Callithrix jacchus: one gene and its partners. The protein of the gene in region 1 binds, or shares a complex with, the protein of each later gene. Links are inferred from orthologs where the notes say so. Each region holds a gene or a part of one and is shown in the gene's direction. Other genes may lie near its edges. The genes, in order: MED1, MED7, MED23, MED13L, MED31, MED18 and PPARA.

Region 1 (3,511 bases):
TTAAGGTTTAGAACTTGATGGGTCAAGAGATTTTTCTAATGATTCCTTAATTAAAATAAGTTATATATCCCTATAATTATCATATGAATCTCCCAGAAGAAGGCTTTTTTTTTTTTTTTTTTTTTTTTTTTGAGACAGAGTCTCGCACTGTTGCCCAGACTGGAGTGCAGTTGGATGATCTCGGCTCACTGCAACCTCTGCCTCCCAGGTTCAAGCAATTCTCCTGCCTCAGCCTCCTGAGTAGCTGGGATTACAGGCACCCACCACCATGCCCTGCTAATTTTTTGTTTCTAGTAGAGACGGGTTTCTCTATGTTGGGCAGGCTAGTCTTGAACACCTGACTTTGTGGTCTGCCCTCCTCAGCCTCCCAAAGTGCTGGGATTACTGGTGTGAGCCACTGCACCTGGCCTCCTTTTTTTTTTACTTTGAGACAAAGTCTCCCTCTGTCACCTAGGCTGAAGTGCAGTGGCATGATCTTGGCTCACTACAACCTCTGCCTCCTGGGTTCAAGTGATTCTCCTGTCTCCTCTTCCTGAGTAGTTGGGATTACAGGTGTGTACCACTACACCTGGCTAATTTTTGTATTTTTAGTAAAGACAGAGTTTCACCATGTTGGCCAGGCTCGTCTCAAACTCCTGACCCCAAGTGATGCACCCCCTCAGCCTCCCAAAGTGCTGGGATTACAGGCCTGAGCCACTGCGCCCACCCTAAGGAGATATTTTCTTACTGAGTTCCATTATTACCAATTTTCTTTTAGTTCAGTTTGAAGTCCAATTATTTGGACTCTTGATTATAGTTTGCTTTTGTTGTGTGACTCTTATTAAGAGGTTGACAATTTCATTTTGGCTTAGATTTTTCAAATGAATTTACCCAAAGCTCTGGTATTTGATAGAACTATTATTTGCCCTACCTGAAAACTGCTTACTGCAAAACTCTTATGTTGTATCTAAATCTCAGGTCTCATTCAGCAGCTATTGCAATATTAACTTTGTTTTCCTCTATCTTATCTTGCAGATGTATGTCCATCCCTGTGACGATGAGGGCTATTCGGAGGAAAGCTGAAACCATTCAGGCCGACACCCCAGCACTGTCCCTCATTGCAGAGACAGTTGAAGACATGGTGAAAAAGAACCTGCCCCCGGCTAGCAGCCCAGGGTATGGCATGACCACAGGCAACAACCCAATGAGTGGTACCACTACACCAACCAACACCTTTCCGGGGGGTCCCATTACCACCTTGTTTAATATGAGCATGAGCATCAAAGATCGGCATGAGTCGGTGGGCCATGGGGAGGACTTCAGCAAGGTGTCTCAGAACCCAATTCTTACCAGTTTGTTGCAAATCACAGGGAACGGGGGGTCTACCATTGGCTCGAGTCCGACCCCTCCTCATCACACGCCGCCACCTGTCTCTTCGATGGCCGGCAACACCAAGAACCACCCGATGCTCATGAACCTTCTTAAAGATAATCCTGCCCAGGATTTCTCAACCCTTTATGGAAGCAGCCCTTTAGAGAGGCAGAACTCCTCTTCTGGCTCACCCCGGATGGATATATGCTCGGGTAGCAACAAGACCAAGAAAAAGAAGTCATCACGATTACCACCTGACAAACCAAAGCACCAGACTGAAGATGACTTTCAGAGGGAGTTATTTTCAATGGATGTTGACTCACAGAACCCTATCTTCGATGTCAACATGACAGCTGACACACTGGATACGCCACATATCACTCCAGCTCCAAGCCAGTGTAGCACTCCCCCAACAACTTACCCACAACCAGTACCTCACCCCCAACCCAGTATTCAAAGGATGGTCCGACTATCCAGTTCAGACAGCATTGGCCCAGATGTAACTGACATCCTTTCAGACATTGCAGAAGAAGCTTCTAAGCTTCCCAGCACTAGTGATGATTGCCCAGCCATTGGCACCCCTCTTCGAGATTCTTCAAGCTCTGGGCATTCTCAGAGTACCCTCTTTGACTCTGATGTCTTTCAAACTAACAATAATGAAAATCCATACACTGATCCAGCTGACCTTATTGCAGATGCTGCTGGAAGTCCCAATAGTGACTCTCCTACAAATCATTTTTTTCATGATGGAGTAGATTTCAATCCTGATTTATTGAACAGCCAGAGCCAAAGTGGTTTTGGAGAAGAATATTTTGATGAAAGCAGCCAAAGTGGGGATAATGATGATTTCAAAGGATTTGCATCTCAGGCACTAAATACTTTGGGGGTGCCAATGCTTGGAGGTGATAATGGGGAGACCAAGTTTAAGGGCAATAACCAAGCTGACACAGTTGATTTCAGTATTATATCAGTAGCTGGCAAAGCTTTAGGTCCTGCAGATCTTATGGAGCATCACAGTGGTAGTCAAGGTCCTTTACTGGCCACTGGGGACTTAGGGAAAGAAAAGACTCAAAAGAGGGTAAAGGAAGGCAATGGCACCAGTAATAGTACTCTTTCGGGGCCAGGATTAGACAGCAAACCAGGGAAGCGCAGTCGGACCCCTTCTAATGATGGGAAAAACAAAGATAAGCCTCCAAAGCGGAAGAAGGCAGACACTGAGGGAAAGTCGCCATCTCATAGTTCTTCTAACCGACCTTTTACCCCTCCTACCAGTACAGGTGGATCTAAATCTCCAGGCAGTTCAGGAAGATCTCAGACTCCCCCAGGTGTTGCCACACCACCCATTCCCAAAATCACTATTCAGATTCCTAAGGGAACAGTGATGGTGGGTAAGCCTTCCTCTCATAGTCAGTATACCAGCAGTGGTTCTGTGTCTTCCTCAGGCAGCAAAAGCCACCATAGCCATTCTTCCTCTTCTTCCTCATCTTCTGCTTCCACCTCAGGGAAGATGAAAAGCAGTAAATCAGAAGGCTCATCAAGTTCCAAGTTAAGTAGTAGTATATACTCTAGCCAGGGATCTTCTGGATCTGGCCAGTCCAAAAATTCCTCGCAGTCTGGAGGGAAGCCAGGCTCCTCTCCTATTACCAAGCATGGACTGAGCAGCAGCTCTAGTAGCACCAAGATGAAACCTCAAGGAAAGCCATCATCACTTATGAATCCTTTAAGTAAACCAAACATATCCCCTTCTCATTCAAGGCCACCTGGAGGCTCTGATAAACTTGCCTCCCCAATGAAGCCTGTTCCTGGAACTCCCCCATCCTCTAAAGCCAAGTCCCCTATCAGTTCAGGTTCTGGTGGTTCTCATATGTCAGGAACTAGTTCAAGCTCTGGCATGAAGTCATCTTCAGGGTTAGGATCCTCAGGCTCATTGTCCCAGAAAACTCCCCCATCATCTAATTCTTGTACGGCATCTTCCTCCTCCTTTTCCTCAAGTGGCTCTTCCATGTCATCCTCTCAGAACCAGCATGGGAGTTCCAAAGGAAAATCTCCCAGCAGAAATAAGAAGCCGTCCTTGACAGCCGTCATAGATAAACTGAAGCACGGGGTTGTCACCAGTGGCCCTGGGAGTGAAGACCCAATGGACGGCCAGATGGGGGTGAGC
Region 2 (3,254 bases), on another chromosome or scaffold:
TTAATTCATGGCACCGTATGGTGGCATACGTCTGTAATCCCAGCACTTTGAGAGGCCAAAGTGGGCGGATCACTTGAGGTCAGGAGTTCCAGGCCAGCCTGGCCAACGTGGTGAAACTTGTCTTTACTGAGAAGTACAAAAATCTAGGCGTGATGGCGCACACTTGTAGTCCCCAGCTGCTCAGGAGGCTCATGCAAGAGAATGCCTTGAAGCTGGGAGCCGAGGTTGCAGTGAGCCTTGATCGTATCGCTGCACTCCAGCGTGAGAGACAGATTGAGACCCTGTCTCAAAACAAAAACAAAAACCACCCAAAAAAACCTTAATTCATGGAATTGTTGTGAAGATTATGTTAGGCCACAAAACGTGTAGTTGGCCTAAGGAAAAGGGCAACTGAAATACAGGAATACACATGGTGTAGCAAAGTACAGACCAGCACTCCCCACCTCAAAAGGTTTGAGTGGGATGAAACGTGAGCTGTCAACAATTGTATTTTGAAGTTCTAGATCAATGTTAATTCCTTGATTTTGGTAATTGTGCTGTGGTTAGAAGAAAACACACAGAAGTATTTAGGGGTAAAGGAATGAGAAACCAATAAAGCAAATGAAGGTAACTGTTAACATATGGAGAATCTGAGGGAAGAATATGAAGTGTTCTTTGTATATTCATGCACTTTTTGCGTAATCTGAATTTATGTTAAAAGCTTTTAAATATTGGCCAGGCGTGGTGGTTGACGCCTGTAATTCCAGCCCTTTGGGAGGCCAAGGCGGGCAGATCACCTGAGGTCAAGAGTTAGCCACCAGCCTGGCCAACGTGGTAAAACTCTGTCTCTACTAAAAATACAAAAATTAGCTTGTATTTTTAGTAGAGACAGAGTTTCACCACGTTGAAATGTGTGGTGGCGCATTTCTGTAATCCCAACTACTCTGGAGGCTGAGGCAGGAGAATTATTTCAGCTCAGGAATTGGAGATTGCAGTGATCTGAGATGGCACCACTGCAGTCCAGCCTGGACAACAGAGCAACACTCCATCTCAAAAAAACAAACAAAAACCAAAAGTTAATGTGTCCATATAAAATTGCATAGTACACTGTGACAAAAAGGGTATGGAACTGAATTATCATTTCATTCAGGAACTTTGGATCATACCAGGTGTTTAGGATTTAGCAATGTTAATTTTGTCAGAGTGTTTGTGAGAGATACAAGTGTTTGCTGTTAAAAATTAATCTGTAACATAAAGCAAAAGTGATTATGACCTGAGATTGGGAGACAACATGTGTAGTTTGGTTATGGAGGAGTAGAGAAATGGGCCAAAGTGGTAAGGGGTGTGGAATCCAGAAGATTTTCTTTAAAGATGAAAAGATGGTACATTTTTTTTTATGCTGATGAAATTATTAGGGAGAAAATGGAAAATGTGAATGGTTGAGAATATAATGCCTATTTAGAAAAGTTGGCAGACTTTCCCTATCATAAATGTTAGTTTTAGAAACCAAGGAGATCATCTTGTCTTGGGCCGCAAACAACTGGAAGAAAAGGAAGAAAATATTCTTTCTGTAGTTACGAAATGTAACAGGTTCATTTCGTGGCTCTACTCTAATAAATCTTTGGTCTGTGTCTTTAGGTTCTTGGTGCAATGGGTGAACCACAGCAAGTGAGTGCACTCCCACCACCTCCAATGCAATATATTAAAGAATATACAGATGAAAATATTCAAGAAGGCTTAGCTCCCAAGCCTCCCCCTCCAATAAAAGACAGTTATATGATGTTTGGCAATCAGTTCCAGTGTGATGATCTTATCATCCGCCCTTTGGAAAGTCAGGGCATCGAACGGCTTCATCCTATGCAGTTTGATCACAAGAAAGAACTGAGAAAACTTAATATGTCTATCCTTATTAATTTCTTGGACCTTTTAGATATATTAATAAGAAGCCCTGGGAGTATAAAACGAGAAGAGAAACTAGAAGATCTTAAGCTGCTTTTTGTACATGTGCATCATCTTATAAATGAATACCGACCCCACCAAGCAAGAGAGACCTTGAGAGTCATGATGGAGGTCCAGAAACGTCAACGGCTTGAAACAGCTGAGAGGTTTCAGAAGCACCTGGAACGAGTAATTGAAATGATTCAGAATTGCTTGGCTTCTTTGCCTGATGATTTGCCTCATTCGGAAGCAGGAATGAGAGTAAAAACTGAACCGATGGATGCTGATGATAGCAACAATTGTACTGGACAGAATATACAAGAAAGAGAAAATTCGGGTCACAGGAGAGATCAGATTATAGAGAAAGATGCTGCCTTGTGTGTCCTAATTGATGAAATGAATGAAAGACCATGAAAGATGTTTCTCTTTTCTTTTTTACTTTTGATAAATAGCATCATATATTATTTTCTTTTGGACAGTCTTCAGAGAGGTTTCACTAAAAATGTAAACAGCTTTAATCTTGACTCCAATTTTTTCAATTATGAGATGTCATAGGCAGTAATTTTGCTGTATAACAAGCATAGGCAAATGAGTACCCTGCACTAAGAATAATCACTTTAGAAAGCAAAGTGTTAGCTGCTGTTGTACAGGACATTCCTATGTTTTGGAATTGCAGTAAAACTTTGATGATAACCTCAATAATAACAAAGTTTTCATCCTTGAAAAGGGGATTTATTATTTTCTTTAAGAATGACAGATAAGTAATAGACATCAAGCTGTATAAATGTAAAACTATGAGATCTTTAGACTTAATTAAAAATTTTGCTTAAGCTCCAGAAAGTAGTATGACATGTTAGTAGAGAGGAACCCAGTAAAGTTATAAAACAAATTTATTTTTTTTCCTCATAACTGTTCCTGTAAACCCATTATCTCAGTCTTTTCTATCCTGAATAGACTCTTGCGTGGAAGTCCCATAGATTGTTTTTTTCTCTAGTCACTCAGGTAATAAGTCCTTTGGCCACTTTAAGTTACAGACATTAATTTTAGTAATTAAGATGTCTATGTTATTAGCTACACATTTTCTTTAAAGCTAAAGTCAGACTTGCTTAAGTCCCCAATGGGATAGGGGTTTGGTGGCAGGCTACTAGGTATCTACTAAAATTTTTGCTCTTTGAAGATAAGTTGCTGAGATATAGCAACCCAGCCAGGGACATTTCCCTGCTTTCCCAGCATCTCTATGAGAAAATGTGACTAAGTTTTAGGGAGTGAAATGTGGGCATAAGAATCCAGGCTTGCCCCATAAACATTTCTTGCATGATCCTTCATTCTCTTTTTTT
Region 3 (4,136 bases), on another chromosome or scaffold:
TTCCAAGAAGGAAGAGCAGAGATCAATTTTATTCCCCCATGAAAGAAGTTTCCGCTTCAGTATCAGGACCAATACCACACACTCAAAAACAGACGTTGAATAATCTGGTAGCTACTTAGACATACCCCTGAATATAAAGTTTGTGTAAACTTGTAGAGGTTACTTTAAAATAAAGAGATTCGTATAACCTCTTTATTTGTTCTATCATAATATTTGATCCCTGTAAATCCAGGGTTTTCATCTTTTGATTTAGATTGTAAAATTAATACTACTATCCCTGTTTCATATGCCCTTTAAAATGTTATCTTTTTTCAAAGGATAAATAACAAAATTTTCTACTATGCATTGCCCTTTGTCTAATTGAAACAAGTGATGTCCATAGCGGAAGTCCAAAGCTAATGGAAAGTCTGTTTTGTGGGAAACCTGAAAAAATAATATTTTTATAACTTATTCTCTATGATAATATAACATAATGCAGGTTTAATAGACTAAATCTAACCTTAACTTCTTAAGTTCAACTTCATTCCATGCTTCTCAGCCTCTTGTTACAATTAATGCCCATTAACTAGTAACTTTTGAAACTAACCGAGAGGCTTTTGGAATACTGTATTTAATCTCTGCCCTACAGCACAAGCAGCGCTGCCCTGTGCTGGAGGACCAGTTGGTGGATCTGGTTGTTTATGCCATGGAGCGATCTGAGACCGAGGAGAAGTTTGACGATGGGGGAACAAGCCAACTCCTGTGGCAGCATCTCTCGAGTCAGCTCATTTTCTTTGTGCTTTTCCAGTTTGCGAGTTTTCCACATATGGTGCTTTCTCTTCATCAGAAGGTATGTACTAAATCTTTTGGTCAGAGTGACTTCACCTTTTGATTAGTGTATTTTAGACTGCTATGGACATTCCCCAGTGATTTAAGAACTGGCAGAAGTTTTGAGCCCCAATTTCTGTCCTGTTCACTGCTTTTACGGTTTCTTAACTTTTTACTTTCTTGTCCTTGTAAAGCCAGGATTCAGTCATTCATTCTGTGTATTCCCAGTGCAGGCACCAGGGGATACAAGATGAAAAGGCACTGTAATATCCTCAAGGAGCACCTCACTAGAGGAGGAAATATATATCTGCGCGCGCCTGCGCGCGCGCGCGCACACACACACACACACACACACACACACACAGACAACATGATTATTTCTTAATAGTTGTCACAATGAAAGCACATTTCCCTGCGATATGAATAAAAGGAAATAGTCCCTAAGCTTGCGGTGAGCCAAGATCACACTACTGCACTCCAGCCTTGGCGACAGAGTGAGACTCCATGTCAGAAAAAAAAAAAAAAGGAATGGTCTGTATTAGAGATATCAGGGATGGCCGTATCAAAGAGGTCTTTAAGCAAACACTTGAAGGATGAATAGAAACTTGCTAAGAGAAAAAGACAGAAAAGTGTTTCCCTAGCAATAAGACTAGCATTTAGAAAGGGATAGAGATATGTGAGAACTGGAAATAAAAATATAAAAGGGAAATCATTGGTGAGATAAGTTAGGCGGGAAAGCAAGGGCAGATATGGAGAACTTTAAATGGCCATGTGCCTGTTCTAAGGAGTTTAGATTTTCTCTTGGAGGCAATGCAGAGGGGAATGGCATTGTTGTATGCAAGTTGAAAAATGCTAATGGCCACATGGAGAAAGAGAGTGATGTAGAGATTAACGGGAACAAAGCCAGAGGCTCACTGTAACCTTAGGGACTATTCCCTTTTATTTGTATTGCAGGGAAATGTGCTTTCGTTATGACAACTATTAAGATATAATTATGGGTTTTTTGTGTGTGTGTCTGTAAAGCCAGAGGCAAGGAAATTAGTAGGGAGATAACTGCAGTGGGCTAGGCTAAAGATGCTGAAGGCCTAAACCAGGACAGAAAGGAGGAACTGGAGATGGGATATCCGGAGGTAGAATAGGACTAGGTGACTGACAGCAAATAATGGGAGTCTAGGCTTGCTCAGTGGTTCCTACTCTGGGAATTAATAGAAGGGAGGACGATGAATCCAAAAAAGGGAGACAAGTAAAAGACTTAAGTCTGTGGGAAAAGTCACCTTTTGTCAACAATTTTAGACATACTGAATGGGAATAAAATAAATGTTGATTTATATAACATCTCCATGGCATGGATTATCATGGAGAAAATTTTTCACAAAAATTGTTAAAAATCCTTTTAACCACCATCTCCTACCCCCCACCACCATTAGTTCCTGTTATAATGTACAGAAAACCAGCTGGGCCAGGTGGCTCACTCCTGTAATCCCAGGACTTTGGGAGGCTGCGGCTGGTGGATCGCTTAAGTTTAGGAGTTCAAGATCAGCCTGGGCAGCATGGCAAGACCCCATCTCTATCCTTATTCTAAAGATATAAATAAATAAACAAAATGTATAGAAAACCAGGAAGCATGTTTTGTGGTAACCAGTCCTTGATAATTTCAAATTAAAAAAAATATATCCTTTTGGTATGATAGTGTATTCCCTACATTTTGATGAGATTTTTAAAATAAGAATTATCCCATTTAAACTCGATTCTCTTGCATACCTGATCAACTTGATTATGTTCTACAACATTGCATTTTTGGTATGCTTAGTTGTTTCGGGGAGCAGGAAATATTTATATATAATATTAAAATAATTTAGCAGGCTTTGCATGGTGTGTCTTGAATTGAGAATAAGTAATTACTAAATGTCAAAGTGAGATGTTGACTTTCTGAGAACAAGAACCAGGGTTTCTCCTTAAAAAACAAACAACAACAAAATCTTCCTCTGTTTATGTCTTTAAGTAACAATGTCTACATGTGTATTTAAAAATCTTTTATAGTTAGCAGGGCGAGGACTGATTAAAGGCCGAGATCATCTTATGTGGGTTCTCCTGCAATTCATTTCTGGAAGTATTCAGAAAAACGCACTAGCTGATTTTCTCCCTGTCATGAAGCTCTTCGACTTGCTATACCCAGAAAAAGAAGTAAGCTTTACTGAATAACTATTCATGACAACACGATGAGTAAATTATGTATAATTATGTTTAAGGATTTCAGTGTGGTTTTGTGAGTATTTCCAAAGTTTATGCTAAATCACAATTGAGTAGGAAGTATAGCAAGCTCTTTCTCTACATTCTAAGTAGGTCTACATTTTTAGAAATCACTAAAGCTGTTTTAGTCTATATACACCATTCAATGGCCAGACAACAGTGTCTATTAATAGCTATTTTTTGTTTTGACAGTTGAGCCTCATTGTGTCTCCTGGGTGTTTTATCATATAAGGTATTTGAGTAAAATGTGAGGTACTTTGATGATTGCCATTTTCTAGAAGTACTTTATTATGAAAATTTTTAAACATACACAAAAAGTAGAGTGGGTAGAACAGTAAACCTACCGTGTTATAACCATCATGAAGAAATACTCATTTTATCTTCCCTCTTTATCTTTTTTGTCAGTGTTGGACAATTTTAAAGCAAATCCCAGACATCGGTGTCATTTTACCCATCAATAATCAGCACATTTAGTAATAATCATTTAGATTGCATATTTCTTAGATTTTTATATGTTCTTAAAAATTATTCCGAGACTTTTAGAAAGTCTTGTGTTTTTAGTTACATTATCATATTTAGTAAGATTTCATGATGATATGTTTAAATTTTTAAAAAGTAAAAATTAAAAAATGATTTTTGTTTGAGAATGCTCTGTGATTGTAGGAAAAGCTTGACAAAGCACCTGTGAATTTGTGTTACTTTCTTAGCAAATAAAAACATACCAAATAAAGCATCTTGTAATAGTTTCAAAATTTTATGGCTGTTAGACCTTCTGATTTGTATTATTGAATTATTGGGGCTAAAGTAAGATATGATATGTTAAAAAGAGATATATCAGAAATTGATTACTAAAATACATATAATCATTTAATTCTTCTCTTTCTTGTATTATTTTTCAAATCGTTATTTTTCAGTATATCCCAGTTCCTGATATTAATAAACCCCAGTCAACCCATGCCTTTGCAATGACTTGCATTTGGATTCATCTCAATAGGAAAGCTCAAAATGACAACTCCAAGCTACAGATTCCAATACCTCATTCCTTAAGACTTCACCATGAGTACGTTATTAGTTGCTTG
Region 4 (4,136 bases), on another chromosome or scaffold:
TGTTGGGAGCCTAGCAGATCCAGACTATCTTAACACACCACAGATGAACACACCCGTGACGTTGAACAGTGCTGCCCCAGCCAGCAATAGTGGGGCAGGAGTCCTCCCATCTCCAGCAACCCCTCGCTTCTCTGTCCCCACACCACGAACCCCCAGGACCCCAAGAACTCCCAGAGGTGGGGGCACTGCCAGTGGTCAGGGGTCTGTTAAGTATGACAGCACTGATCAGGGGTCACCAGCCTCCACCCCCTCTACTACGCGGCCCCTCAACTCTGTGGAGCCTGCCACCATGCAACCAATTCCTGAAGCCCACAGTCTCTATGTTACCCTGATTCTCTCCGATTCCGTGATGAATATCTTTAAAGACAGAAACTTTGACAGCTGTTGCATCTGTGCCTGCAACATGAACATCAAAGGGGCGGATGTCGGGCTTTACATCCCGGATTCTTCCAATGAGGACCAGTACCGCTGTACCTGTGGGTTTAGTGCGATTATGAACCGCAAACTTGGCTACAATTCAGGACTCTTCCTTGAAGATGAGTTGGATATTTTTGGGAAGAATTCTGATATTGGTCAGGCTGCAGAGCGGCGCCTACTGATGTGTCAGACAACCTTCCTTCCTCAGGCCGAAGGAACCAGAAAATCCCAGGAACCACCCATAAGCCTTCTCCTCCTCCTCCAGAGTCAACACACACAACCTTTTGCTTCACTGAGTTTCCTGGACTACATTTCCTCTAACAATCGCCAAACTCTTCCCTGTGTAAGCTGGAGTTATGACCGGGTGCAAGCAGATAATAACGATTACTGGACGGAATGCTTTAATGCATTGGAGCAGGGGCGGCAGTATGTGGATAACCCCACTGGTGGAAAAGTGGACGAAGCTCTGGTGAGAAGTGCCACTGTGCACTCTTGGCCTCACAGCAATGGTAGGTGTCCCAGAACACAAATTTGCTCTGAGGAGTATCTTGGTATATCTTGGTATGATCTTAACTTAAAAGCTTTATTTTCTTTGTTATTTGACCAAAATAAATTAATTTCATGTATTTAAGGGGGGATAAAAAGAACTAAAGTGAGAGCTATATTGATTTCATCCCAAACTTAACAACTGGGAGAATGTTTTATATTGAAATGCCTTTGGAGAAAAGTAATTGTTTTCTGAAATTTTCCTCTTGTAAAACTCATGAGTAAGGAGTCCATGTTGGAAACCTGTGACAGCTGAGTATCAGAGTCATCACGAGCTTGCAGACTGATAATTTTGCACACTCTTGCATGTTTAAATCCACCATTCTTCCACATCAAGTTTCCAAGGAACCTCTTCCATGAAGCCATCCACCTATTTCCAGAGTCTCTTGTCCTTTCTCTGTTTCCCCCTCTGTTATATCACTTATAATCACATTTTACTTTTCATTGTGGTTACGGAGGCATGTAACTGGCTGTATTATTAAAAGCTCCAGATCACAAACATTTTTGAAGTTGGGCTGTAAGAGTGCCAAGCAACTTGCTATTCCCTTTTCTTATTCAGTCACTGCATAAACTGCAATGCATCATGGGTGATAAAATGGTTACTGAAAGAGACAAGACACCTGCCCTCATGGACTTCCTAATCTATTCTGGAAGTGAACATTAATTAAATAATTACACAAGTCAAATATTATTACAACCCATTTTGTAAGTGATAAAAGCATGGGATAGGCGGGGGCACTCTAGGCTGAAGGTCAGAGAAGACTTTGTTGAAGAAGTAGTAACATTTGCTTGGAGATCTCAGTGATGAGTACAGATTAACTGAGGAAGGAGAATGGGGAGCAAGGCATGTGTTCCAGACAGAAGGAGCTGCAAGTAAGAAGGCCCTTGATTGTACAGAGCTTGGGGCCTTTGAAACTGAAGCAAAGTTAGAAGCCAGCAGGGGCTAGATTTTTTTAGAGGCATCCCGGGGGTTAGGTCTTCCTGCAAGAAGCAATAAAAAGTCATTGAAAGGTTTTAGGAAGAAGCACTGACATCAGATTTGTGCAGTTAGAAAAGAAAACTTACAGTGTGCACTGGCTATAATTCTGGGTATAGATTAGAAAATGGTGGGAATGGATTTGAGGACACTAGGAGGTTATAGAGGAAGACCTAGTCAGAAACAATAGCTTGCCTTAGGGTCCTTGTGAAGAAGGTGGCTTCAGTCCTAGAGTGGCTTCTGCTGTGTTTCCATGTGCCTCTGGCTGCAATGAAGATTGGCTTTCTCTTTATGCATTCTGTATTTTGTGAAAATATTTTTACAATTAAGAGCATTTAAAGAGTTTTTAAAAGCTTCTATTTAAGTTCCATTATTTCCTACTCATCATTATAAACAACACATCGATATTTGCAAATAAAAGTAATACAATAATTAAGAAACTTTTGTAGCTGTTTTATGGAAATCCTTGAAAATAGATTTACATGGTTTTAAAAAGTTCATACCTATTCATGTTTCTACTTTTAAACAGTTCTTCCATTAAACTTTTTTATAGAGTAATCCATTTCGCTTTTTATTTTTGATACTACATTATCAATTATTTTCTCTAATATAGTAGAAGAATATCTTTCCTTTTGACTCCTAAGTCAGATATTTTAGAATTTGCTACAGCTAATAACATCATTGTCCTGGACTATAACTGAGGCTCAAGGTGATGGCAAGGAAAAGGAGGGTGCTAGCCCCCTTATCTTCTCTGTTTCTTCTCACTTCTCTTCCAGTGCTGGACATCAGCATGCTCTCTTCCCAGGATGTGGTTCGTATGCTGTTGTCCCTGCAGCCCTTTCTCCAAGATGCCATCCAAAAGAAGCGCACGGGAAGGACCTGGGAGAATATCCAGCATGTGCAGGGACCACTCACTTGGCAGCAGTTCCATAAAATGGCAGGACGGGGAACCTATGGTAGGGTCTTTGCCCCGTTTAAAATTTCTTCTGATGTCAGTGCTTTTTAGTGAAGAGCAGCATTAGTTACTGTCAAGTCTTTGCTTCGCTAACAAAATGGAATATTTTTCTTCATGAGCATTAAGTTTTATAATCTGTTTTTTAAAATTACTTTTGGGTCAAGTTTTCCTATCACCCTTGTCATAGTCCAGGTCAATGAGGAAGATAATCCCTACAAAGTGCGTTTCTTAGATTCTCCTCACCTTCCCAGTCCTCATTGCATTTTCATCTGGATGGACTTCTGGGCCAGTTCTGTCTGTTTCATCATAGTCAGGATAATAATGCTTGTCTTGAAGGAAATGAAGCAGTGCTGCCTGGAAGGTTAATTGTAACTTGTTCTAGTCAGCCCTCTGATCTTACTGAACCTTTGTAAGAAGATTCTGACTTACTTAATTAAGAGTCCTCATCAGTGGCCGTTTAATTAGATGATTTGAAAGACACTTTTAAGAATATCTTGTGAACCTGCAGTGACATTTCAGATGCCAGAATTAAGAACAGTGCACCAGGAATTTCTAAATTGTCTAGGTTGTGGGGAAAACACTAGCACCTTCCTAAACTACAATGTCATTTTAGGTTCAGAAGAATCTCCTGAGCCGTTGCCCATCCCCACTCTGCTGGTAGGCTATGACAAGGATTTCCTCACCATCTCACCATTCTCCTTGCCATTTTGGGAGAGGCTGTTGTTGGACCCATATGGGGGCCACCGTGATGTTGCCTATATTGTGGTGTGTCCAGAAAATGAGGCCTTGCTCGAAGGAGCCAAAACTTTCTTCAGGGACTTGAGTGCTGTGTACGAGGTGAGGAAGTTACTGTGAAAATCGCTTTTTATGACATGGATTTTCTGATTGTTCCTAGTGATGACTAAACTTCAAGACAGATGTCTTGAAAGTGAATCTCAAAGACAATTTGCAAACAGGAGGATGAGGAAGAAAATTGAACTGACACATTTTTCTGGAAGCAGGTTGCTTTCCCGTCTTCGCTTTATATTTATTAGATTTAGAAGACTTTCCCCTCCCATCCTTACCACATGTCTTAAAATCCCATCAGCTCTCTCTTCTCCATTTATGTGCTAAAAGTCGAAGATTATTGCTCACCAGGGGAAAGTGTGGCTATGTAGAAGATGAGCTTTACAAAAAGAGCACATCTACTCTATTTATTTATTTATTCATTCATTCATTCGATGGAGGGCTAGGGTGAGTACA
Region 5 (4,865 bases), about 12 Mb from region 1:
GACATTCAGCAGAAATACTACTTTAAGTACCCATACAACCATTGTTTCTCACTTTTAGTATAGTTTGACTTATTTCACCATGGTACAAAAGTGACATTCAGTAGAAATACTACTTTAAGTACTCACACAACCATTGTTTCTCACTTTTAGTACAGTAAGCAATAAATTACATGAGATATTCAACATTTTATTATAAAATAGGCTTTCTGTTAGATTATTTTGCTCAACTTTAGGCTAATGTGTCCTGAGCATGTTCAAGGTAGGCTAGGCTAAGCTATGATGTTTAGTAGGTTGTAGATAGTAAGTGCATTTTCAAATTACCATATTTTCTACTTACAATGGGTTTATTGGGAGGTAACCCCATTGTAAGTGGAGGAGTATCTGTAGTGCCTGGCACAGAGCAGCTACTCAATAAATATGACTCTTGTCCATCTTGTTCAAACCTCAGGTCAGGTTTCAATGACTTCCTTTCACTTTCCCTTCTAAGATTATTTTTGCTTGCTGGTAGGTTTGCTATCATTTTTAACATCTAACCTACCTTAAAAAAGTATGTGAATGGGGGTGCCAGGTAAAAGAAAACCATTTACTTTGAAACATAAACAAAGGGCAATTAATAATTTATGAGTTAGTTGCTTCTCAAGCTTTTAGCAGGCATGGAATCATTCCACAGGTCATGATTTCAGTTTGGTCTGTGTTCCTAAGGGGCGAAGGTCATCGGAGGGCTTTGGATCCCAAACTCACCTGGCTCAGAGGTTCAAACAGCCTTTGTCCATCAACCCGATTTATACAGCATCCTGGGCCTGAAAACCTTTTGTGCTGGCTTCAAGTGAATATAATTCACTGGGTCAAAAGCAGGCTGGTCCAAGACGCCGCAGGATGGTCAAAAAACGTTGGCTGTGTTCAGGAACCGCAGCCTAGCTGTTTCTTACATTGATTTATGAGCTATTTCCATGAAACCGAAAAAGATTGGTCCACCTGGCAGCTGGCTGGCTGGCAACTGGAGGCCTTTCTGTCCTGGCTGAGGGCCCTGGCACCTTGGTGGCCTTTGGGAAGCAGTATCTCATCAGGCTTCTTTCTCTCGGAGGGAGGGGGTGGTGGTGGCGGCCGGCCTGGCCCGCGGGGCTGGGCTCTCCGCGCGGTGCAGAGACGTCTCCACCCGCAGGGTCCCTGACGTGGCGGGAGGTCGTTTCCGTGCGCCGCGAGGAGGCTTCCACGTGCCAGGAGGACTCCTTGAGGACGCCAGGGAGCCACTTTCCCGACGGGGAGAGGGAAGACCCCTCGCTGCGGCCCCGTGAGGTCTCCACCCATCCGGGCGGACCGTAGACGTCTCCGCGTAGCGGGAGATCCGCACCGGGGCGAAGACTGCTTGCCCCCTGGGCTGAGGCCATTCTGCCAGGCGTGAGGGGGGCCAGGGAGGCCTCTGGGCACCCCACATACCAACCGTCACCGCAGGCAGAAGAGAGAAAAACTACTGTACTACCACAGGGGGGAGAGCCACAACACGATGATGTGGAAGCATCATTGTCCTTCGAAGGCTAAAACACTAGGCTTCTGCCCCTCGGGCGCTCCCACGGCCCTGTCCCCGCCCCCTCGCCGTTCGGTAGCCAGCGGGGATGGAGCGGCCCGGGGATGGGCGGAGCCTCCCGGCCGCATATCCCACAATGCCCCGGGACCGGAAGAGGGAGCTGTGGTTTTTGGAACTTCCCTCGCCACTCTGGGCGTTTGCTCTGTCGGGCTGGTGGCGGGTTGGTGTGTGTTTGTTATGGCCGCCGCCGTCGCTATGGAGACAGGTGAGTAGCTCTCTGAGCCTGGAGTCTTCTCAGATGGAACGCTCCTAGGCCCAGACCTCTTCCCCGGGGCTTCCTTTCAGGCCTCACTCTGCAGGGTTCGTATTTGGACAGGGCGGAGAGAAGGCCCTTGTGGCGTCTAGAAAGGCTAAGGTACTTTTCGCAGTTCTCCTAATTTGGTTTGTGCCACATCTTTGCTATTCAAAAACCACCAGCTCGCCAGGGTGGGCGAGATTAAGAGAGGACTTGTGTGTTAAACCGTGTCCTCCTTGATTGGTTTTCTGCTTCTCACGAGCTTGCGTATTTGAAATACCGTCGCTAGACTTGTGTATCATTGTGCTGTTGCTGCTTCTCAGATATGCATAAACTCCACGATCTTTTAGGCTCTCTGCAGTCTCTTTTTCGGCTTGCATCCTAAGTTTTTCTTAAAGGATTCAGCGCGTAGCTTTTGCGAAACGTAATCACTGTTAACAATTGTTACAATGCATTATTAAAATAGGGGAAGCACAGTTATTACAGCTTACCTAAGTGATCACTTAAAATTCCTGCAAAGTGGTCCACGAGTTGGTAGGAATTCTGCTCTGTTTGTGTGGCTGTTTTCTTTGATGATTTCTCTTTAACTTTAGAGAAACTTCTAACTTAATCCTTTTAATCAAGGCTCCGCTTTTCTTAGATTTCGAAGAAAGGTTTATCTCCACCCACTCCCAGTTTAGGAAGACCATCTCGATATTAGTCAGGTTTCTTTATTCTTTCCTTACCACAAATCAGTATTATATACAGTGACCTTTATTTTCGATGATTTTTGCTGTCTTGTCTCCTAGATGATGCTGGAAATCGACTTCGGTTTCAATTGGAGTTGGAATTTGTGCAATGTTTAGCCAACCCAAATTACCTTAATTGTAAGTTTTTAAGCACCTCATTAAATTGAGTAGCTGTTAATTTCTGACAGAAGAGTTGCAATTCAAAATAGTATCTGCTTGTACACATTCTCAATGAAATGAAATTACACTTAGCTGGTGTATAGATGTAATTGTGTACATTGGGACTTGTATTTTGAATCCGATGTGTGTTGGTGGTGGGAGTGTTATGTAAATAGATCCTTTATATTAGGGGTAACAAATCATAGTTTAAGAATTGGTTTGACCTACAGATTTTCTTTTTTTTTTTTTTTTAATGCTTTTCAGTTCTTGCCCAAAGAGGTTACTTCAAAGACAAAGCTTTTGTTAATTATCTTAAATACTTGCTTTACTGGAAAGACCCAGAATATGCCAAGTATCTAAAGTAAGTTTAATTTTTATAATCCTAAGCATGTGTATACTTTATTATATAATAGATTTCTTAGTTTCACATTGGCAAAAATGTATTTTGAATCTCTCCACTTCTTTCAGTTGTCACCTTAATACAAGACACCCTCATCTCTAACTTGTATCACTGCAGTAATCTATTGCCTGGTTATCTCTGCTTCCACTTTTACCTTCCTGCTCCCCTCCCGCTCCCTGCAAACCAAACAAAGCAAAACAGCTTTCTACACAGAAGCCTGCTTAATCACTTAAAAATATAAATCAGAACACTTTACTTTTTTGCCTAGAATCTTTCAATGGCTTTGCATTTCCATGCGAAATAAAATCCAGTCTCTCTTTTTTGGGCCAAACCCCTCTATGATCTGGCTCTGCTTTGTCTGACCTTGTCTTTTACCGACCTCCCCATCTCCCCAGGTTTCTGATCTCAAAGAACTCACAATCTGTAAATGTTGTTTAACATTACGTAATTTCAGCCATGGGCTGAAATTAAGAACACAAAAAGAGAGTATCTGTAAGGAAGGTGTTTGGGGTTGTTGGGAGGAGTCTTACCTGAATCTTAGAACTGCTATCTTTTCTTTAAGTCCTGTTCTGTGTCAAGAACAGTGCTAAATACTTCACATGCATTTACTCATTTATGTGTATATATATGTTTACCATTCAGGTTGTTCAGCAGACACTTTCCTGTTAAAGCTTACTAAGTTGCAAGAAGTGTATTATAACCAGAAAGCAATTCCCTTTTAATGGTAAAAAAAAACAAAAAACTACACCTTGAACTCACACCTCTGCTTTGTTTTAAGCAGGTAGTCAGAAAGCAGTAGTGAACTTTTTTTTTTAAGACAAAAATTTGAGAGGAAATGTTTCAAATTTGTCTTGAAGTCACTTTTCTGTATGCAGTAACAGTTGACTCATGAAGCATATACATCTTGTGTTGCCTGCAGGACCGTTTGTATCTTTTCTGGCTTTTTATCCATTTAATAATCCAAAGAAAAGACTTTTAAAAAAGTATATTTCAACAAATGTTGTATGTATGTAGATTTACAGACTCTGTGTTGGAAGCCTTAGCCATCCGTAAGTTTAATTTTATCCATAGTGTTGCTGAGAGATGGTCATCTACACTCCGTTTGGAAGTTTCCATTGATCCCATGTGACTCTGTCAAGGACAGCTGATTCGATTGTTAGCCAGAAGTTATAAAGTTCTTCCTTATATTGTGATATAATATACTTCCTTGTAGCTTCAATCTGTCCCTGGATTAAGCTAGAACCATTCTATACCCTCTTGGGGACAACAGCCTTTTAGATATTTACATTCAAGAGAGATTGCAAATTAGCCCATTTTGGGCATTTTATTTAGTCTGCCCAAGATTTTAGTTTTTTTTTTTAATGCTTGCCAATATTTAAAGATCAGAAAGTTTTATTTAATAAATGCAGATTTCCAGCAACTCTTTAAAATCTGGAAGATTTAGCAACCATAGATCTTAATTCTTCCAATCAACAACTGGCTGATGCTGAGAGCAGCTGCCACTACTAGCTGCTTTCCACCTGGTGGAAGAGACTTTCTACCACTTGGCTTGGTTCATTGCTAACCAGTAGCTGCCACTATAACACCTCTCTTATGTCTCTTTTTCTCAACTCCCTTCAGCCATTGTGCCATGGTGCCCAGACTTCTCATGAATTCAGGTTCCCTCCTTTGGATATTTGGCAGTTGTACCTTATGCAGTTCAGCCAAGAACTAAACACAGGCCTTCAGATGTGGTCAGAGTACAGTGGGTCAGAGGTT
Region 6 (4,804 bases), on another chromosome or scaffold:
CTCAGTTCACTGCAACCTCTGCCTCCCAGGCTCAAGCAATCCTCCCACCTCAGCCTTCCAAGTAGCTGGGAGTACAGATGCGACCCACTACACTCAGCTAATTTTTGTATATTTTGTAGAGACAGGTTTCCACTATGTTGCTCAGGCTGGTCTTGAATTCCTGAGCTCAAGCCATCTGCCCACCTTGCCTCCCAAAGTGCTGGAATTACAGGTCTGAGCCACCTGAGCCCGGCCTGATCTTTTTTCTCCAGGCTCTCCTTTCCCAAACTTTTCTCGACATTGCAATCAGAGTTCCTTTAAAGCTCACATCTATTCTTTTTTTTTTTAAATTGAGACGGAGTCTCGCTGTGTCACCCAGGCTGGAGTACAGTGGCGCGATCTCAGCTCACAGCAACCTCCGCCTCCTGGGTTCAAACAATTCTCCTGCCTCAGCCTCCTATGTAGCTGGGATTATAGGCATGCCCCACCATGCCCAGCTAATTTTTGTATTTTTAGTAGAGACGGGGTTTCACCATGTTGGTCAGGCTGGTCTTGAACTCCTGACCTTGTGATCTGCCCGCTTTGGCCTCCCAAAGTGCTGAGATTACAGGCGTGAGCCACCGTGCCTGGCCACATCTATTCTTTAGTTTGGCATGCAGAGTACTCCTGGATCTAGGCCTACACCTTTTCCACTCGCCTGCTCTGCCTATGGGGGTAGCCATTCTTTATTCCTTTACTTTCTTTTTTTCTTTTTCTTTTTCTTTTTTTTTTTTTTTTTGGATACAGTCTCTCTCTATCATCCAGGCTATAGTGCAAGTGGTGAAATGTAGGTTTGCTGCAACCTCCGCTTCCCGGGTTAAAGTGATTCTCCCACCTCAGCCTCCCCAGTAGCTGAAAGTACAGGCATGCGCCACCATGCCCGGTTTTTTAGTGTATTTTTAGTGGAGACGGGGTTTCACCATGTTGGCTAGGCTGGTCTTGAACTCCTGAACTCAAGTGACCCGCCCACTTTGGCCTCCCTAAGTGCTAGAGTTACAGGCATGAGCCACCATGCCTAACCCCTCAGTTTGTGTGTGTGTGTGTGTGTGTTTTTAATTTAATTTAATTTTATTTTTCTTTTTTCTAGTCAAGTGCAGTAGTGAGAAGGGGGGAAAGAGTAGAACAAGGAGTTCGATCTGTGTAACTGTGAACAATCAATTGAGATAACTCACTACCTTCGGACCAGCCCAGTTTTTGTTTTTTTTTTTAAGTTCATGATAATCTCTGTAAGTCTTAACAGTTCCAAGAGACTTTCTACACAAGTACATCTCCAGGTTGTCAAACCTAAAAATATTTTCCTAGAGGAAGGCCTGTGACATCAAGGCTTCAGGTAGCTCCCGGAGGAATGCTCCAAAGGAGGGCGCCATCTTTCTTACAGCAGCCCGGGATTTCGCGCATGCGTTTTTGGTTGTCTGTCCGCAATGAAGCTCTTTGGCCTTCTCGGCACCCTTACGTTCCGGAACGGCAGTTTCGAGGTTTGTGAGACTTCGGCTTCCGATCGGAGGTGAAAAGAGGAGGAAGTTGGCTGGTTGCTTCCGTCTAAGGGCTTCCGGGGCTCGGTTAACCGGAGGGCTGGAATCTAATCGTCGCTCAAAGGCGCCTAGGTGCGCGGGTGAATATAATTCCCGGCTTCCTGAGAAGAAGCTAGAGCCTCAAGGAGGTGTGTTTCTAGTGTTTAAATGGACACGTGTTCTGGATGCGGCTTAAAGGGACCTATACACCATCATCTTAAAATAACTTTCTCTTGGCTCTCTTTAAAAGGCATTTTCAGGCCAGCCGCAGTGGCTCTCCCGCCTGTAGTCTAGCTACTTGGGAGGTAGATCGGGAGGCTGAGGATCGCTTGAGCCCAGGAGTTCGAGGCTGTAGTGAACTGGGAACTCCCCATTGCACTCCAGCCTGTGCTGCAGATCGAGATCCTGTCTCCAAAAAACAAAAAGGGAGAGGGGAAGGCATTTTTAGAGAGATGGAATGCCTAGATTCTAGTTTGGTCCAAACTCTGCCACCAACTTGCTCTGTGTATCCTTCTGCCCCTCTCCGAGTCTCAGTATCCTCATCTATAAAATTAAGGGCCCTTAAGTCACTTTTCAGTTCCTCTGAATTTTGTTTCCTCTTTATTATGTCATTAGAGCCACATAGCCTCCGAAATTAAAAAATACTGGCCTCGGCTGGACGCGGTGGCTCATGCCTGTAATCCCAGCTCTTTGGGAGGCCGGATCACCTGAGACTCACCTGAGGCCAAGGAGTTCAAGACCAACCTGGCCAACATGGCAAAACCCCATCTCTACTAAAAATACAGAAAAAGCCGGGCGGGCGTGGTGGCACATGCCTGTAATCCCAGCTACTCGGGAGGCTGAGGCAGGAGAATCGCTTGAATCCTGGAGGCGGAGGCTGCAGTGAACAGAGATCACCCCATTGCACTCCAGCCTGGATAACAAGAGTGAAACTCCATCTCAAAAAAAAAAAATTGGCCTTATTTTATAAGGAATACATTGAGTCCCAGGGTGAGGGGTTGTAGGACTTTCTCAAGATTGCACAGGTAACTTGGAAGTTTCAGAACTTGAGACTAGAAGGTTATGGTATAACTCCATGATTAGATCTCCCTTTTATATTTCTGTATTATCAGTTCCTGGAACTGGCCATATAAGGAGATACTCAGACGTTTTTGAATGAATGAATCTTTTGATTTGAAGGCTAGTGCCACAACAGATCTGGTCTTTCTCCACCACTCTGATGTATAAACAAGTGAATTCTTTTTCAGGTATATCTCATGCCTTACCTGACTGGGCATTCTGAGTTGTGTTGTCTTCAACTTAGACACCATGGAGGCACCTCCAGTCACCATGATGCCTGTCACTGGGGGCACCATTAACATGATGGAGTACCTGCTGCAGGGTAAGTGAACCAGGGAACTTGGATTACCTGTTTTCCTCTTCTCTGTTCAGCTTCCGTGAAGATGAGAGACTTAACACAAAAGCAGCCTGCACAGTTTCTGGCAATCAGCTATGTTTTTAATTGTTACTTCATATTATAGTTTTATATGCATTAAACATATTAAATTTGTCATCATAACATATTTAAGTGTACAGTTCAGTAGTGTGAAGTATATTAACATTGTTAAGCAACAGATCTTTAGAACTCGTGTTTATTGTGAATAGCTTGAAAAAATACTTAATAGAACTTTTTTTCCTTTGAGACAGAGTCTCGATCTGTCACCCAGGCTGGAATGCAGTGGCACAATATTGGCTCACTGCAACCTCCACTTCCTGGGTTCCAGGGATTCTTACATCTCAGGCCTCCGAATAGTTGGGATTACAAGTGTGCATCACCATGCCCACCTAATTTTTGTATTTTTTAGTAGAGAGTTGAGGTTTTGTCATGTTGGCCAGACTGGTCTTGAACTCTTGGACTCAAGTGATCAACTTACCTTGGCCTCCCAAAGTGCTGGGATTATAGGCATGAGCCACTGTGCCCAACCTAAAATAGTTTTTCATCCTGTAAAACTGCAACTCTGTATCCATTAAACACTGATTCCCACTCCCCTGTAACTATCCCTTAGCAACTATCTTTCTAGGTCGTGTTTCTCTGATTTTTTTTTTTAGATGGATTCTTCACTCTTTTGCCCAGGCTGACTGCAAACCTCCATCTCCCAGGTTCAAGCAATTCTCCTGCCTCTGCCTCCCAAGTAGCTGGGACTACAGTGTGCACCACCATGCCTGGCTAATTTTTATATTTTTAATAGAGATGGGGTTTCACTGTGTTGGCTAGAATGGTCTCCATCTCTTGACCTTGTGACCCGCATTCCTCGGCCTCCCAAAGTGCTGAGATTCCAGGCATGAGCCACCACGCCCAGCTAACCATTTCATTTTCATCGTAGGGTCTTAGCTCATCTGTCATCCCCTTAGAGAGTCCTCTGACCACTCCAACATCTCAGAGTAGTTTCCTCCCCTTTGTCCCCTCCAGTTCCTCTCCATCTGATTCTCTTTTATTTCCTTGTTTTCATTTACTTGTTTGGTTATGTGGAGACAGAGTCTTGCTCTCTCACCCAGGCTGAAATGTAGTGGTGCAGTCACAGCACACTGCAGCCTCAACCTCCTAGACTCAAGCAATCAATCCCACCGCATCCGCCTCCTCAGTAGCTGGGATTACAGGCCCATGCTACCACGCCCAGCTAATTATTATTTTTTATTTTTAGTAGAGATGAAGTCTCACTATGTTGCCCAGGCTAGTCTCGAACTCCTGAACTCACATGATTCCTCCCACCTCAGCATCCCCAGTGTGCTCGAATTGCAGGCATGAGTCACTGCACTCAGCCTTACTTATTTATTTCTTGTTTCCACTACTAAACTGTAATGTCCACAAGGGCAGAGCCTAGCACAGTGCCCCCAGGACAGCATTTAGTAAGCATACATTGAATGAACCAACACACTTATAAAGCACCTAAGATGTTTGAGGAACGAACATTTCTGAGACTGTCCTGAATGTAGGATGCAATGGTGAGCCATTCCCTGCTCCTAACATTTTCTTTTCTTTTTTTTTTTTTTTTTTGAGATGGGGTTTCACTCTGTCACCCAGGCTGGAGTGCAGTGATGCGATCTTGTCTCACTGCAACCTCAGCCTGCTGGGCTCAAGCAGCCCTCCCACCTCAGCCACCCTAGTAGTTGGGACCACAGGCACACACCACCATGCCTGGCTATTTTTTTATTTTTGTATTTTTTGTAGGGACGGGATTTTGCAATGTTGTCCAGGCAGGTCTTGAACTCTTGGACTCCAGTGATCTGCCCGCCTC
Region 7 (4,136 bases), on another chromosome or scaffold:
CATACACACGTCAGTATGGTTGCCGTCACACTCGGTTATGTTGATGCAAAATATATTTCCCAAGGCCAAGTATAATACCCGTCAGTACCGAGTGGCAGGGACTGCAAGGTTTGCTTTGCCCGAGGAAGCAGATCCGGGGGAAGGCAGATCTGGTCGTGTCTGTGGAAGCCAGCTCTGCAGCCCCTGCATTTTTGGCTCAGTGTCACATTGCCTTAAATAGCCCTGTCTCAAGTCTAGGAAGGTCATCCACCTACCGTAGACTCGGCTGACCTTACCCAGCCTCGGTGGAGACGGACGGGGTGACTACCTCCCACACTGCCTGCAGCCATACTGCGCCCCAGAGATTGACTCACTCTCAGCATGAAGCTGACTCAGCCCTACCAGCCATGCCTGTTACTGTCTGGCTGGGCACAAGTCAGATGGAGGAAGTCCTCACGATCTTGCATAAAGTGTACAAGGACAAAGCAGTTACGCATAATTTGTCCTTTCCAGCCAGTATGCCACCAGTGGTCAAGATGTAGCATCGTGGGTAAATGCAATTGCAGAACTATTTATACGGAGCATGATCAAAGTTTTATGAAAGAGATTGTAATCCTCTATCAATCCTATGTGTATAGAAAAATGTCCAGTGGGATATATGTTAAATCTATTAATGGTGGGATTAAAATTATGAGGGGGGGATTTCTTTCTACTTCTCAAAAAATTCCTTTTTTTTTTTTTTGAGACAGATTCTTGCTGTGTCACCCAGGCTGGAGTGTGGTGGCACGATCTTGGCTCACTACAACCTCCACCTCCTGGCTTCTAGTGATTCACCTGCCTCAGTCTCCTGAGTAGCTGGGATTATAGGCGTGTGCCACCACACCCTATATTTTTATATTTTTAGTAGAGATGGGGTTTCACTATGTTGACCAGGCTGGTCTTGAACTCCTGACCTTAGGGTGATCCACCCACCTCGGCCTCCCAAAGTGCTGGGATTACAAGCATGAGCCACTGTGCCTGGCAATAATTACGTTCTTTAGAGACTTCATATTCACAGCCCCAGCCACTCTGGAGGCTGAGACAGGAGTATTGCTTGAGCCCAGGAGTTGCAGTCCAGCCTGGGCAACATAGCAAGGCCCCATCACTAAAACAATATGAAAACAAGAGTTTTTAAAATAACTTAAGAATTATATTTACAACCAGAAACAATGAAGATTTTTAAATCCTCATCACTAGCAACACTGTAAGAATCACAGCAATACGTGGGTCTGCAAAGGGAGCACTGCCTGCTGGACATGGCTCAGGGCAACATTTTCTGGACCAAGAGTCAGGTCTCACGTGCTGAGACTGTCCCAGGAAGTCTAGTTAGTACCAGCTACCCCAGGGAGGTCATCTGATGTGAACGCTGGCACTTCCTGCACCAAGTCTCAGACCTGCCCCACTCTCCTCCCCACCCACTCCAGGGTCTCCTAAGCATTCTGTCCAGCCAGTATGCCGCAATCCTGACCCCACCTCATTTCTCACTCTACTTTCTTTTCACCTGACTTATATTAGAAGGGTCTGTAACACAAAACCTAGTTCTTTTTTTTTTTTGAGACAAAGTCTCACTCTGTCACCCAGGCTGGAGTGCAGTAGTGCAACCTCGGCTCACTGCAACCTCTATCTCCTGGGTTCAAGCGATTCTCCTGCCTCAGCCTCCCAAGTAGCTAGGATTACAGGCATAGCTGGGATTAGTGCCTGCCTAAGTTTTGTAATTTTTATAGTGACAGGGTTTCACCATGTTGTGCAGGCTGGTCACAAACTCCTGATGTCAGGCGATCCGCCCGCCTCGGCCTCCCAGAGTGCTGGGAATACAGGCGTGAGCCACCATGCCTGGCCCACAAAACCTAGTTCTAACACATCCCATTCCTTCAATATGGTGGAAGGCCTGCAGCTGAGCATCCAGTTTCGACTCAAGAAAAAGAATTTCATTTCCCACATTATGCAAAATTGGTGGTGGTGATCATCTCCAGAATGTACTGTTCCTCCTAATAGCTCCAATTTTTTTCCAGGACAGGTGGTAAATCCGAAGTGAAAGGGCCACCCCATAAGATGGACTGAGGGCAGTATTGCAGCCTCGTAGTATGAATATTTAGGAAAGAGCACGGGTCCTGTCTGTCCCTACTTCACCTAGAGACTTTGTCAAAATCCAAGTGTATCTTCCAGTCAAGCTGACGATATCTAAAGACAGCTCAGTGTTTTCTAAGAAAGACCGCATAGGCCGGGCGCGGTGGCTCAAGCCTGTAATCCCAGCACTTTGGGAGGCCGAGGCGGGTGGATCACGAGGTCAAGAGATCGAGACCATCCTGGTCAACAGGGTGAAACCCCGTCTCTACTACAAATACAAAAAATCAGCTGGGCATGGTGGCACGTGCCTGTAATCCCAGCTACTCAGGAGGCTGAGGCGGGAGAATTGCCTGAACCCAGGAGGCGGAGGTTGAGGTGAGCCGAGATTGTGCCATTGCACTCCAGCCTGGGTAACAAGAGCGAAACTCCGTCTCAAAAAGAAAAAGAAAAAAGGCCGTATAAAATAGGCACGGCTGGTTCCTAGGTGATCATCACACTCAGACGTCTCTCTCTCCTTTCGAGCCTAGATCGCCCAGGCCTCCTAAACGTAGGACACATTGAGAAAATGCAGGAGGGTATTGTGCACGTGCTCAGACTCCACCTGCAGAGCAACCACCCGGACGACAGCTTTCTCTTCCCAAAACTTCTTCAAAAAATGGCGGACCTCCGGCAGCTGGTCACGGAGCATGCACAGCTGGTGCAGATCATCAAGAAGACCGAGTCGGACGCCGCGCTGCACCCGCTGCTGCAGGAGATTTACAGGGACATGTACTGAGGGCCCCCGGGTCGGCCACACCATTTCCGGGACTTCTGACGCTGACAGCACTACAGAGGAGAGAGAGGAGCGGCGCGATTTTGCACAGAGACGCGCCACTTTAACCTTAGAGCGTGGACGGTCTAAGCTGTAGGTAACCGGCATATTATCCCACGTCTTTGTTTTAACCGGTGCTTCTGAGAGTGCAGAACTCAAATCCTGGTGGGAGGCGGCTGATCATCTCAGGACTGGGGAAATTAAGGAGAATGATGCTCAGTGGTCTGATTTTAACTCGCCCCTTAGATCACGTTCGTGATTTACCATTTAATTAACCGGTAACCTCAAAATTCGTGGCCTGGCTTCCCATTCACCCACCTTTTGACATAGCGCTCCTTTGTGATTCTGAAAATTGATCCGCACTTTTAACATTTATCAGCCTCTAAGTCTAGGTGTATATCCAAAGGTGAGGTATGTGAAAAGCAGCAAAATATTTATTTCAAAGACTTCACTTCTGTTTCCTGACTCTAAAGAAAGGCAACAGGCTGCTTTTCAGTCATAGGATGGAGAATTTTAAAGAACTGTTGGATAAGCTATCAAAATGCAGCTGTTGCTTTGTTTTTGGTTCAGTGTTCGTGGTTGTAACTAATATGTGGAAAAGCCCATTTCCAGGTTTGCGTAGAAGAGCCCAGAAAATGGAGTCTCAAGATCCCCATCTGGACTGTCGTAAGCTAGCACCTGTGGTAAGCGAAACAAGACAAGCTCCCGAAGCCCACCCGGTCCACTCAGCTCTGTCCTGTCAACCTGAACCCACCCAGTCCGGCTGTCTGTGGGCATGGTGGTATTCTTAGGGACAGACTGACGCCTTACTTGTAAATGTTCCTCCGGGCCCCATCTGGCAGCTCCCATGTCTTCTGTTATGTTGCTTTTAAAGATATGATGCTTTATTGTTGTAACTCTCGGGAGAGTAGATGCTCTTTTGAGCGGAGACGAGGCACACATGACTTCATAGCTGGGCTGGGTGGGAGCTGGTCACCCTGCGGATCTAGAGAGGGGGTAGGGTCTTCTTCAAATGGAAGTTTTTTTTCCAATGGCAGATTTCACAAGAGTTGGTTATTTTTTACAGTGGTTTAGGTTATTAAGTCTCCTTTGTATATAAGCTAGTTTTTTCAACGTCTAAAATATTTGTTTTAGCCTTCACAATCAACTTACCCACCTCAGTCCAGTTGGGAAAGCAGCTTTGATTATGGCAGTTTGTCGTGACCTGGAAATTCTTTCTGACTGTGTCCACCTGGCAGAC

Evidence for each region.
Region 2: MED1 (region 1) and MED7 share a complex: the UniProt entries of both Homo sapiens proteins name them as parts of the mediator complex. The link is inferred for Callithrix jacchus from reciprocal best matches to the Homo sapiens genes MED1 and MED7.
Region 3: MED1 (region 1) and MED23 share a complex: the UniProt entries of both Homo sapiens proteins name them as parts of the mediator complex. The link is inferred for Callithrix jacchus from reciprocal best matches to the Homo sapiens genes MED1 and MED23.
Region 4: MED1 (region 1) and MED13L share a complex: the UniProt entries of both Homo sapiens proteins name them as parts of the mediator complex. The link is inferred for Callithrix jacchus from reciprocal best matches to the Homo sapiens genes MED1 and MED13L.
Region 5: MED1 (region 1) and MED31 share a complex: the UniProt entries of both Homo sapiens proteins name them as parts of the mediator complex. The link is inferred for Callithrix jacchus from reciprocal best matches to the Homo sapiens genes MED1 and MED31.
Region 6: MED1 (region 1) and MED18 share a complex: the UniProt entries of both Homo sapiens proteins name them as parts of the mediator complex. The link is inferred for Callithrix jacchus from reciprocal best matches to the Homo sapiens genes MED1 and MED18.
Region 7: the proteins of MED1 (region 1) and PPARA are in contact, whole or in part, in a crystal structure (PDB 9IWM), measured with the Homo sapiens proteins. The link is inferred for Callithrix jacchus from reciprocal best matches to the Homo sapiens genes MED1 and PPARA. Residues at the interface, in NP_004765.2 of Homo sapiens: Asn638, Thr639, Asn641, His642, Pro643, Met644, Leu645, Met646, Leu648, Leu649, Lys650; in NP_001001928.1 of Homo sapiens: Val284, Thr285, Thr288, Glu289, Lys292, Phe297, Leu302, Asn303, Gln305, Val306, Thr307, Leu309, Lys310, Pro458, Leu459, Glu462, Ile463.

The regions. Positions count from the first base shown.
Region 1 is NC_133506.1:119,865,490-119,869,000, reverse strand, and holds part of MED1 (mediator of RNA polymerase II transcription subunit 1), read left to right. Parts: intron 1-1,014; coding exon 1,015-3,511. UniProt on the Homo sapiens protein: Component of the Mediator complex, a coactivator involved in the regulated transcription of nearly all RNA polymerase II-dependent genes.
Region 2 is NC_133503.1:19,894,075-19,897,328, reverse strand, and holds the end of MED7 (mediator of RNA polymerase II transcription subunit 7), read left to right. Parts: intron 1-1,617; coding exon 1,618-2,331; 3' UTR 2,332-2,626; downstream 2,627-3,254. UniProt on the Homo sapiens protein: Component of the Mediator complex, a coactivator involved in the regulated transcription of nearly all RNA polymerase II-dependent genes.
Region 3 is NC_133505.1:138,249,527-138,253,662, reverse strand, and holds part of MED23 (mediator of RNA polymerase II transcription subunit 23), read left to right. Parts: intron 1-628; coding exon 629-829; intron 830-2,847; coding exon 2,848-2,991; intron 2,992-3,971; coding exon 3,972-4,117; intron 4,118-4,136. UniProt on the Homo sapiens protein: Required for transcriptional activation subsequent to the assembly of the pre-initiation complex. Component of the Mediator complex, a coactivator involved in the regulated transcription of nearly all RNA polymerase II-dependent genes.
Region 4 is NC_133510.1:119,026,126-119,030,261, reverse strand, and holds part of MED13L (mediator of RNA polymerase II transcription subunit 13-like), read left to right. Parts: coding exon 1-926; intron 927-2,715; coding exon 2,716-2,895; intron 2,896-3,507; coding exon 3,508-3,731; intron 3,732-4,136. UniProt on the Homo sapiens protein: Component of the Mediator complex, a coactivator involved in the regulated transcription of nearly all RNA polymerase II-dependent genes.
Region 5 is NC_133506.1:108,210,297-108,215,161, reverse strand, and holds the start of MED31 (mediator of RNA polymerase II transcription subunit 31), read left to right. Parts: upstream 1-1,680; 5' UTR 1,681-1,762; coding exon 1,763-1,790; intron 1,791-2,608; coding exon 2,609-2,686; intron 2,687-2,971; coding exon 2,972-3,068; intron 3,069-4,865. UniProt on the Homo sapiens protein: Component of the Mediator complex, a coactivator involved in the regulated transcription of nearly all RNA polymerase II-dependent genes.
Region 6 is NC_133508.1:65,000,130-65,004,933, forward strand, and holds the start of MED18 (mediator of RNA polymerase II transcription subunit 18), read left to right. Parts: upstream 1-1,555; 5' UTR 1,556-1,622; exon of another isoform or gene 1,623-1,678; intron 1,679-2,776; 5' UTR 2,777-2,837; coding exon 2,838-2,910; intron 2,911-4,804. UniProt on the Homo sapiens protein: Component of the Mediator complex, a coactivator involved in the regulated transcription of nearly all RNA polymerase II-dependent genes.
Region 7 is NC_133502.1:213,759,378-213,763,513, reverse strand, and holds part of PPARA (peroxisome proliferator-activated receptor alpha), read left to right. Parts: intron 1-2,612; coding exon 2,613-2,860; 3' UTR 2,861-4,136. UniProt on the Homo sapiens protein: Ligand-activated transcription factor. Key regulator of lipid metabolism. Activated by the endogenous ligand 1-palmitoyl-2-oleoyl-sn-glycerol-3-phosphocholine (16:0/18:1-GPC). Activated by oleylethanolamide, a naturally occurring lipid that regulates satiety.